Coturnix japonica: one gene and its partners. The protein of the gene in region 1 interacts with the protein of each later gene in a pairwise test. Links are inferred from orthologs where the notes say so. Each region holds a gene or a part of one and is shown in the gene's direction. Other genes may lie near its edges.

What was found.
Region 2: the proteins of DISC1 (region 1) and KANSL1 interact in a two-hybrid assay, tested with the Homo sapiens proteins (2 studies listed by BioGRID and IntAct). The link is inferred for Coturnix japonica from reciprocal best matches to the Homo sapiens genes DISC1 and KANSL1.
Region 3: the proteins of DISC1 (region 1) and RBSN interact in a two-hybrid assay, tested with the Homo sapiens proteins (2 studies listed by BioGRID and IntAct). The link is inferred for Coturnix japonica from reciprocal best matches to the Homo sapiens genes DISC1 and RBSN.

The regions. Positions count from the first base shown.
Region 1 is NC_029518.1:35,477,938-35,481,289, reverse strand, and holds the end of DISC1 (disrupted in schizophrenia 1 protein), read left to right. Parts: intron 1-2,531; coding exon 2,532-2,680; 3' UTR 2,681-2,849; downstream 2,850-3,352. UniProt on the Homo sapiens protein: Involved in the regulation of multiple aspects of embryonic and adult neurogenesis. Required for neural progenitor proliferation in the ventrical/subventrical zone during embryonic brain development and in the adult dentate gyrus of the hippocampus.
Region 2 is NC_029542.1:2,325,661-2,329,179, forward strand, and holds part of KANSL1 (KAT8 regulatory NSL complex subunit 1), read left to right. Parts: 5' UTR 1-60; coding exon 61-1,364; intron 1,365-3,519. UniProt on the Homo sapiens protein: Non-catalytic component of the NSL histone acetyltransferase complex, a multiprotein complex that mediates histone H4 acetylation at 'Lys-5'- and 'Lys-8' (H4K5ac and H4K8ac) at transcription start sites and promotes transcription initiation.
Region 3 is NC_029527.1:17,051,122-17,055,009, forward strand, and holds the end of RBSN (rabenosyn-5), read left to right. Parts: intron 1-156; coding exon 157-1,293; 3' UTR 1,294-3,381; downstream 3,382-3,888. UniProt on the Homo sapiens protein: Rab4/Rab5 effector protein acting in early endocytic membrane fusion and membrane trafficking of recycling endosomes. Required for endosome fusion either homotypically or with clathrin coated vesicles.

The DNA.
Region 1 (3,352 bases):
GGAAAATTCCTGATGTGGATTCACTACCGCTGTAGCGTGACATTTCAGTGAGGTGCTCTCTTCAGCCACTGTAGCACTCAGCTGCTAAAGACAAGTATAATACGTAAATAAAAACTGTTTCTAATTTTTTTTTTCCTGCTCTTAATTTCCTTTCCAGATGTCCAAAATTGCTGTTATTCTTTAAAATCCCATAAGATTAACTTCCTTTATCTCATTGCTACAACCAACTTCTCAGCTGTCTTTCCAAGGCCTTTTGTCTTACATTATACTCAGTTTCTAATATTTCCTATAGGATGACAATTGTTTGGTAATATCTACTTTTTGTCTCTTTTCTCTAAACATTTGTGCTAGGAGAACAGAAGATATGCTGATGAACAACTCCCCTTCCCCCTCCCCCCTCCTTTTTTTTTTTTCTTCACTAAAAATTAAGCAACTCTACAGTCATTAGATAGATCTGCTTTTATCTTCTTGAAAATCATAGATTCTGCCATGATGTGAGCTCAAATATCCTTCCTCTGGAGGATCCTTACAGATCTTTCACAAGACTTTTTTTTAAAGAGAAAATCACATGGGCAAAAAGCTTTGAGACTACGTTACAGCATTGTAATTGCAGATAATGGATTGGATTTGTATGACATTGCTTCCAAGTACTTTAGCTTACTACTTTTGATACATTGGACAGTTTTTGCCAGTTTTTCACTGTAAGATAATAGGACCAGAACAGAATCCTTGCTGAAACTTGTTCTGGGCTCCTCACTTTGACACTGGCTTTACATTTGCAGCACTGGATAGACAATTTAAGCATGAGGGAGTCATTTACATATGGACCCATGCAAATACCTGGGTTGTTTTTTTTTTTGTTTGGTTGGTTTTGGGTTGTTTTGTTTTTGTATTTTTGGAATGAATGAAGCTGGTGATTCAGACATAACCTCCATAACATGGATAGAAATTCCATGCTCAGCCTTATGTCGTGTGATTTTTTCCTAGCCATAAGGATATGCTTGACAGTTACTGATTTGCAGCTGACTGTGGAGTTATGAGTAACACCACGCTGTTACTGAAACACAGATTTTATTGAATCTTGCTGTAGGTAAGACTATGCAGTCATCGTTCTTGTTGCCCCCATCTTTCTATTGGTTAAGAGCTTATTTTCCCATCTTCTACTCTTTTATTCATCCTCCAATTTCTCAAATGTTTCAATTTTTCATTATACCTGAAAAGAATTTTGTAATTGCTTGGGATATTACAAATAACAGCATGTAGTCAGAGGCTGCGCATCAGAAGTAATTAAATTTCAGAGGCTTCATGGTGTTCATATGTTGAAGAATTTTCAGCAGAGCCTCTTGATTGAATTGCAGAGTGGTAGACGGTCCAGGAGCACTTATAAGAGAATAATGATGTTTCTTACTTCAGAGAAGCTGCGAGGCATAATTGATTTGTCCTTGTATGGTGGCTTGAGATTCTAGGATAAGAAGTTTATTGGGTGCTGCTGTTACTGCCTGTGAGTAGTCAGAGACAGAATCCACTCACATTATTAGAGCTGTCCAGAAATTGGAAATACGCATGAATACTCCCGGTGAATGAATTAAATCATCCTACTAAATATGCATAAACACACAGAGATGAGATTTTGAGGAAGTGAAACAGAATCAAAAGCAGTGAAAAGGGTTTTCAGAGGCCTGTAACTACCTGAAGTAGTGTTGTTTTGCATGGCTTTCCTGTGGTTCTGTGTAGTCACTATTTTTCAAAGGGTAGAAGCTTACTTTTTATCATTGCATAACCTGAGTGTGTCTTTCTTTTCTTGACATTGTGTTGACATCAGGTTTGCGTAAAATAACATTTCATAACGGATGGACTCCATAAAGGATAAAGCCTGTCCTCATGCATTATTCTTCCTCTGCATTGTGTTTTTGAAAGTGAGTTGTTTCAGTGTCAACCTGTTTCACTTCCCGTGAAAAAGTGCATTTCAGGTTCTCTCATAAATCCTATTGGTGAATTACTGCTAGAGTTGAGCTTATTTCTTTTTCCCTTGAGCCCTTTACAGTTGCAATTCAGGGTCCTTGCCCTGTTGTATCTGTATAGCAGGGAACACTGGCTTCAGTACAGTTGAAAATGGCCTTAGTTTCATTCACAGAAAAGTGGTTTTTAGTTTATGTCTCTAGCTTAAAAACCCACCCTGTATCCAGCAGGAAACCAACAGCTTGTGTGGCTGCCTTCACAGTATAACATCTTCATCTCCCTCCTTCCCATGAGAACAGTATCCAAGCAGTATCCTCCATTCCCTCCCCTTTTACAAGTGCTAAATAATGCTACTTGAGAACTTTGCCTGGATTTTTTTTTTCTCTTTTCTTTTTGAAAGCAAGTGAGAGCAATGTATTAATATTTAATCCAAACAATTTGGAAGAACTTAAAGCTACAATGAGATAGCCATGGCCATCTGGTGTGAGCAGAACAACCATTTATTAAATAACTTGGAAAGAGAAAAGGAGCTGCCAATCACCTATAGAATTATTCCTTAATAAAGCTTGCACAGTCTCTGCAGAGGGAGATCCAGGTGGTGAAGGAGACACTCCAGACCGTGCTGCTGCAACTGCAACCAGCCAGGGAGGCAGGAAGAGAAAAGGCTGGAGACTTCCTCTGTGACAGCTGGTGTCCAGGAAAGCAGGACTCAAAGGAATAATGAGCAGAAAGAGCTGGTAGGATGACATTAATTCACAAAGGGCTGCTTTTAGTAACTGAATACTCTTTTACCAAGCCTCAGGGATCTCTTCCCTCTCTGCATAACTAATAACTAAATCAATTATGGAGAAACAGAGCCTGGAGGTCTATCATCAGAAGTATTCTACAAAGTCTCACATGTTTTGGCACAGATTGGGAAACAGCTTTCAGAGCAGAGCATCCCTTGTAAATGTGTAGATTACAAATTGATACATTTCAAGTGAGTCTGCAAAGCTGCCTTTAATGTCAGTGAAATGTTCTCCTTGAAGACTTGTAAACAGTATCTGTCTTCCTTACTCATGGATTTCTTCCCATTTAAAAAATGTAGTGTTAAAGCTGGAACATCTACTATTTCTCAAAAAATAGCTGTAAGTATAAGAACTTCTTTTCTTCTTTGGCTTTAACAGTTTTCTTACACTGAATGTATTTGCACATTCCTGCCAATAATTAAATCAACAGGATGAAATTCAAGCTAACCAAGTTCTTTCAAGTGAAATTTGAAGCTCATTTACACAATGGTATTGAGTACAGTAGAGGTAACTAATTGCAGCCCCTACAACATTAGATCAACTATTTTCATGAGGTATTAATATGAACTCGTTTTAGTATTACAAGGGTTGTAAAACGCACACAC
Region 2 (3,519 bases), on another chromosome or scaffold:
GAGGCAGTGGAGCTGGCCTCGGCACCGGGAGAGGCTGGACTTCCCGTGTCTCTGTGCTGAATGGCTGCGATGGCGCCCGCTCTCACTGACGCAGCAGCTGAAGCTCACCACATCCGATTCAAGCTGGCTCCCCCGTCCTCCACCTTGTCACCTGGCAGTGCCGAGAGCAACGGCAACGCCAACAACATCCTCCTGGCTGCCAACGGCACCAAAAGGAAAGCCATCGCTCCGGAGGATCCCAGTTTAGATTTCCGAAACAGCCCCACGAAGGAAGAGCTGGGCAAGCTGCAGCCACTAGTGGCCTCTTATCTCTGCTCGGATGTAACATCTGTCTCTTCAAAAGAGCCTCTGAAGCTGCAAGGAGTCTTCAACAAGCAGACAGTCCTTAAATCTCACTCTCTGTTATCTCAGTCCTTCTTGAAAACGAGTGATCTGTTGGGGAGGCAACCGGTGTTGGAATTTACTTTGGAGAATCTGAAAACAATGAGTGCTAACAGCCAGCCACCTCTCCCGCAAGCACCTGTGAACGGCTTGGCCAAGAAATTGGCCAAAAGCACCAATTCAGACCATGAAAACTCTAGTGCTCTGAACGGTGGGAAGTGTGCTGCTCCTGCTGCCGCCCTCCAGGGCGTTGACTATAATGCAGGAGGTTCTGAATTGGGGGACTTGAAGGCCGGGTTGACCAATTGCACTCTTCCACACAGAAGCCTTGATGCGGAACGCACGACTCCTTTTAGCAATAATAGCACTGCAAACAAATCTTCCCTTAATTCCACGGAGCAGCAGCAGGTGCTGGAGGGGGGCAGCGGAGAGACCAGGTTGCCCGGGGTTGGCGGTCACTCGGACTTTGGGAGCAGTAGGTTGGAGGAGCAGAAACCTTCTCTGTCCGCCGGCCATCACAGCACCCTCGACTCGGAGATGAGGACGAGGGCTTTGCTGCGACGGCAGGCGGACATTGAGAACCGTGCTCGGAGGCTGCAGAAACGTTTGCAGGTGGTGCAGGCGAAGCAGGTGGAGAGACACATCCAGCAGCAGTTGGGCGGCTTCTTGGAGAAAACTCTGAGCAAGCTTCCAACTTTGGACCCTGTGAGGCATCGCAGCCAGCTGATGTTGACCAGAAAAGCAGAAGCAGCTTTGAGGAAAGCTGCGAGCGAGACAGTTACTTCAGAAGGTCTCAGCAGCTTCTTGAAGAGCGATTCGATATCGGAAGAACTGGAGAGATTCACGGCCAGTGGCATGGCCAACTTGAGATCCAGCGAGCAGGCGTTTGACTCGGATGTCACTGACAGCAGCTCAGGAGGAGAGTCTGACGTCGAGGAGGAGGAACTGACCAAAGCAGATCCAGAGCAGCCCCACGTACCGCTGTGAGTAGCAGTCGTGCTTTGCTTCCTTCTGGCAGGGTGAGCTGAGAGGTGACAGGTAGAGAACATGGGTGTTACAGGACGTGTTTGGATGGGCTTGGATCGAAGCAGGAAAGGTTAAGACCGGCGTGGTGTGACTGGTGGCCTGTTTCCTAGTTCAGCTCTGAAGATGTTCTTCATGCCCCCAGAGCAGTCCTGGACACGCTGTCGAGCAGCAGACCCAAAGTACTGTAAGCAGTTGTGTCTGGTTGCTTGTGCATTGGACCTGTCCTGAAACATTTCTCTTTTTGCAATGGGAACCTCTGTTGCAAACCAAGGCAGAGTTCTGTTTTATGTTTTGTTCAGCTGCCTCTGCAAGGGTTTGGTCTGAGTGCTGGTGGAAGAGTGTGCCCTCTGAGATGAAGGAAGAGGTTACTGCTGGGAATCTTCTTGTTTGTGAGTGGCATTAAATGGTGACAGCAGCCTAACGTGGTGTTAACTGGATGCTGTTTGCATTAGTATTAGCTGTGAGTTTGTGTGTGGAGGAGGAAAATCATCATCAAGGGGGGAGGCCTGGACAGGTCAAAGAACGGGAGAAATTCTTCTTCCAAAGAAAAGCATTTTTCCCCAGGAGAGTTTATTGCAGCCCTTAGGGCAGGTCTCTGTTAAGGCCGTGCCCTGTGTTTGGACTGTGTGATATGCTGCTTGCAGATGTGCTCTGTGCTGAGCTCAGCCTGTGGCTGCTGCTGACTGAAACCTCTGCAGCCCAAGCAGTCCTCAATGGAACAGGGACCTTATTGGCACCCCCACCCTATTGGGGGTTTGCTCAGATCTCTATGGATGCATTTTGATACCTGTTGTCCAAAGTGATGCTCCTGCTTGGTCTGTACTGCCATGAATTCTACTGAGTGAGGTGGGTGGATGCAATGTGTGCTCTGTAACTTGAGCATCCCCCCAAAGACCCCCTGGTGTGGATGGATGCTGATAAACACGATGCATGTTACAGCTCTCAGATACTGAATTCTAGCTAAACTTCATGCTCTGGGATGTTAGCACAGGATGGATTTCAGTATGGATTGAGCACATGTGGTGCTGGTTGGATGTAGGGGCACTGTGCCCTCGTGCTGTTAGAGATGAGTTCAGTGGTGTTACTCCTGTTTGTAATGCCTGCAGACTGTTGGGATTAGCAGCAAAACGGAGCTGATTACTATTGCAGTGACTGGAGGCAGCATTCAGCAGAGTTTTGTGTCCAAGATAATATTAAATTTCCTATATTATGAGTTTCTGTGTTGTCTAGCAAAGTGAAATTTCCTTGCCACTCATCTTAATCCCAAGTTGAAGTGCGGTATTCAGCGACACGATGCGTGAAATCCTTTGCTGACTTCTCTGCCCTCTGTGTTAGTCATGCCTGTACGTTCCCCAGCCCTCTTTAAAAGCCAAAGATTTTCAAGTCAATGCAGAGCTCTCCTTGTGTTGTGTGCGGTGTCAGATGCTGCTGTGTGTGTGTGCTGCCATCCAGGGCAGGCCCACCAACCCTGGTTTAAGCTTGATGCCTGTGGGTGTTTAGTGATTTCTCTTTGTAGCATTGACTGTCCTGTTACACGAGTGCTTTGACGTTGGGTCTTGTGAGCTCCGGTGCTGGTGAGGCTCAGTGCATATTTGTGCTTGTGACTGGAACTCCTGAAGTCAGCCCTAAGAGCTGCTGCATCCCAGCACATCTAAATAGCCGCCTTCTCCAAGCAGTCGTATGAGGCAGGAAGGGGAAAGGCTGACTTTTCCACTGGGAAGCTGCCTTGGGCAGCTCCTTGGATCTACAGAAGCATTGTTCCACGTTTGTGTGAGCAAAGAAAGCCAAGCCTTGTTGCAGGGTTGCTCCAATACGGCTGGATTTTGCAGCTAGCTGAATTTCCTTAGTCGAGGGAAGCCTTTTTTGTTACCGTGTTTATTCATAATTCCAATAGCAGACAGTATATCTTGATGGTGCCTAAAATCTTCTGTCTCATCCCTTGGTTCTGTTGCTGGCTGCTCCTTCCTTCCCCCCAGGAAACTCCTTGCAGGCTTGGAGCTCCATGGGCAGAGCAGTGCTGTGAGTGCTGCCCTGCAGCCCGCTTGCAATAAGTGTCTGCATTGCCCGTGGGATCCGAGTAGAAGCATGCAAAAGAAACAAAGACCTGTTTAC
Region 3 (3,888 bases), on another chromosome or scaffold:
GGTAGTATTACAAAAATGAACAGTTTTTTCAGAGAAACTAAAGACTGAGTTGATGTTTGTGACAGCAGTATCTAAGGTAGACAACTATTTTCTGTGAATACAAAAGTTAAAAATGGAATTTTTCAAGCTCACGTTCTCCATATATTTTTGTTTTAGGCAGCTCTTGAAACACACAGAAAACAAGAGGAGAAGCAGAAAGACTTGACATGCAGATCTGCAGGTGCAGTTAATGGTGATGCAACTCTCCTTAAAAAAGGAGCAGTCAGGAAATCTGAAGGCTGGCTGCCTACATCGAGCATATCTCGACAGAGTGAGGTGGCAGACCCACTTCTTCAGCAGATTGACAACATCACATCCTTCATTGAGCAAGCAAAGGCAGCTAATAGGCTGGATGAGGTCCGTATGTTGCAAGAAAACCTGAGGCAACTTCAGGATGAATATGATCAACAGCAAACTCTGAAAGCCATTGAGCTTTCTAAAAAACAGGCAGAAGAGGAAGAGAAGCAGAGGGAAGAACTTCAGTTCCTTTGTGAAAAAGAGTGGGAAAGAGAACACCACAAATCCATGTCTCAGCATTCAATGACAGGCTCCTTAGATTTCAGAGAAGGCAAGCAGCATCAGTATGAAGCTGCAAAAGAGAATCAGAACTTGTTAGCACATAGATTGGATTTAGATATTACTCAAGTGAAAGGGAACCGAAGTTCTGAAACTACTGCTGTTCAGCAGATTCCAGCCAAAGAGTACGTAATCGTCCCAGTTAGACACCAGAATACTCCACAGTGTGGCAAAGACCAAAATCAGGCAACCTGTCTAAACCCCTTTGAAGATGAAGCAGATACCCCTCTGTCAGAGGAAGATCCCACTAACCCATTTGCTGAAGATGTGTCTCAACCGGTTTCTTTCTCTAACACAGCTCTGCAAAGTGACAGAAAAGAATATAACCCATTTGAAAATGGGGAGGAAGGTGAACAGACCAGTGGAGCATCTGTCAGTACTTCAAATCCCTTTGAAGAGGATGAAAATCCATTTCAGAAGTCTGGGAACAATTGGAATTCTGGAAATCCATTTGAAGAAGGATCTTCTACCAATCCCTTTGAGGTGGAAGATGTAACTGAGATCTTAAGAGAGGAGGCTATAGACGAGGAACTGCTTCTCCAACAGATAGATAATATCAAAGCCTACATATTTGATGCCAAGCATAGCGGACGAATGGATGAGGTGGAACTACTGACGGAGAACTTAAAGGAACTGAAGTACACTTTAGCAAAACAAAAGGAGAAATCCAACTGTTGAAGCAGCAATCACACCTTGTAAGAGTTACCTCAAGTCCGCTGCTAAGAGATGGGAAGATGGAGCAGTTATAAACAGCAGTACAGATTACAAGAAGGAATTGGGAGAATGTTATATTTTATATGCTTTCATTTATATATTCCCAACACTACTCAGCCTTGAAGAAAGAAGAGGAACGCTGCTAGTCTTGAACACTTATACTAAAAAAACTTATCATAAGTTGTTACAACCATCTTAATGCTAATTCGTCTTACTGTGTGTTTAATTTGGTCAAAAGGCTTAAGCAGTAATAGGGAACTGTCACTTTGTTTTATGGTTGGTTTGTCATCTTTCCTCCTTGTTTGCACTGTGTTGTTACAGCAGCTGAGCTACTGGCTTTTCAAATGGAGCTTTGACCGAAAAGACAAAAGTGTTTCTAAAATTTCTGCATCTTCTGCTAATGGCACAGTGTCAGGTACAGGCCAGTCTGACTGTCCTAAGAGAGTTACAAGGAAGTGCTGTTGAAAGGCTGCTATGATTCTTTGAGATGCAGGATATACAGGCCATAGGTCAGTTTTGTGCAATAGTACATGAAATGGATTTAAAAACTAGTAGAGACTTCACTGATTTTAATATGAGTAGCATTTAAAGTGTGCTTATAACAATTTCTAACTGAGGTGCCACCTTGTTACTTTTAGTTTCCCAGTCCCTCTAGGCACAAATTGCAGTGTAATAGAGAGCCACGTTGGCTTCAAAGCTACGTGTGTAGGAATGAATATGTAGATGCTCATTTCCAGAACATCAGGCTAGTATTAAGGGTGACCTTGAAATTCCTGATTATATTCTGGAATGTGCACTTTCCTTTATACTCTCTGGGTTGAAGAATGATCATATTTGTTTACCTGAGACTTGAATCCTTATTGTAGCACTTTAAGAACAGAAATCCTGGAGAGCTGAAGTGCCACTGAACTGGAATTCTGTGAGAGCTGGGCTGTGATTGTGCCAAATGTAAGTTCCTATTTTATATTTGATTCTCATCAGAAGTTAAAAGAACCAGGCATGCGAGTCTTCAGTAAGCAGGTCCAGATGGGAGTCTTGGTTTGGGCCTCCACCCATGGCAGTGACTGGGTAAAGGCCATCTCCTGTGGTGCAGGAGGGCTTCTGGAGATTGGTACTATAAAAGTTAGGATTGTTCAGTGTTAAGTTAGTGTGTTTTGCTGCTTTCCCCACATTCCCTCCCTTTGAGAGGCAGAGGTCCATCTTCAGACATAAGTGTTTGAAACGGTGGTTGGGAGAAGTTAGTTAGAAAGGTGTATCTAATTAAAGCTGAAAAGGAGGATATTGGGCAGATCATACTCTCTTGCTCTAATAGTAGTGGGCTTACTGAGAAGTAGAGTTTTGTGGAGTGGGACATCTCTTAACTATGTATCCAATAACACATGAATAGCGTAGCTGTAACTGGGGCACTACTTAGTATTTCAGAAACACAAATTATCACGCTACCTAAGCAGCAGGAGCTGTAGATTTCTTTTAAATACACTGAAGGACTGTACTTCTGTTTAAGGCAAACAAAACCAACAGATGTACCCGCAGTAAGACTAATAACTGATCAGAATAACTCAGTACAGCAGCTTCAGGACAGCTGTACTTCTCACTGCAGTTTGAAGTTGAAAGGTGCACAGAATGGGTTTTCTCAAGGACTTCAGTTTTTTATACCAGTGCATGTTGTTAATGTTGGCTGTATCTCCAGGCGTTACTGTGAAGTGGGCCGAGCATCTGCAGCAGAGTTCTGAAAGGCCGTAAACTAAACATAGTTCTGTGCTGTGGCACCAGGTGTACAAAGGCAGCAGAAATGACTGAGATGAAATTTATCCCAAGAATTGCTCACTTCAAAGTGAATAGTCCAAGTCAGTTTTTCAAGGCAGACTATGGCTGCTCAAGAGGAGTGCTTCTTGCATTATAACCCAAAGCTCTTCGTGGTATTGAGATGAAAAGAATATTTCAGTGGCTTCAGCACTTGCATTTAAAAAGCTTGTTTTCCTTGTTGTAACCATCCTGCACTACTTGTACATTCAGCCTAATTAATAAAATCCTTCTGTACATGTGACTGTACTTGTACAAGTAGCATCACGATTGCTGACAGCATTAACTGCGGTACATCAGCCTCTGATACTGAAGTTCTCTCCAATGCGAAGACCATGTGCTGGTATTTGGGCTGCTGTGAGGCTCCCAAGGCACAACAAAATGAAGACAGCTATAGAACTAGTAAGTAACTAGCGCTGAGATGGTACAATTGCATGCAGTACTCTGTATAGAAATGTGGTAAACGAGAGATAAAATAACATCTATTTCGTGCTGTATTGGCCCTTGATAATTCAAGCATTCCTTAAAAATGGGTGTGAAATGTTGTATTCAACCATTAGCTCAGAAATGCTGATAATTATTTCTACAGCAATTTGCACATACGAGCCTGATTTAATGCAATTAAATAATTAAAAGCAGTGTAGTGCTATTGCGTATTTATATACTGTTACAGGTATAGGGTAAACCATTCAAAGCAGAAACTACTATGATCTAAAACTGTGGCAGGGGCCAGTAGCATCAGAAGTAGAAGATGTC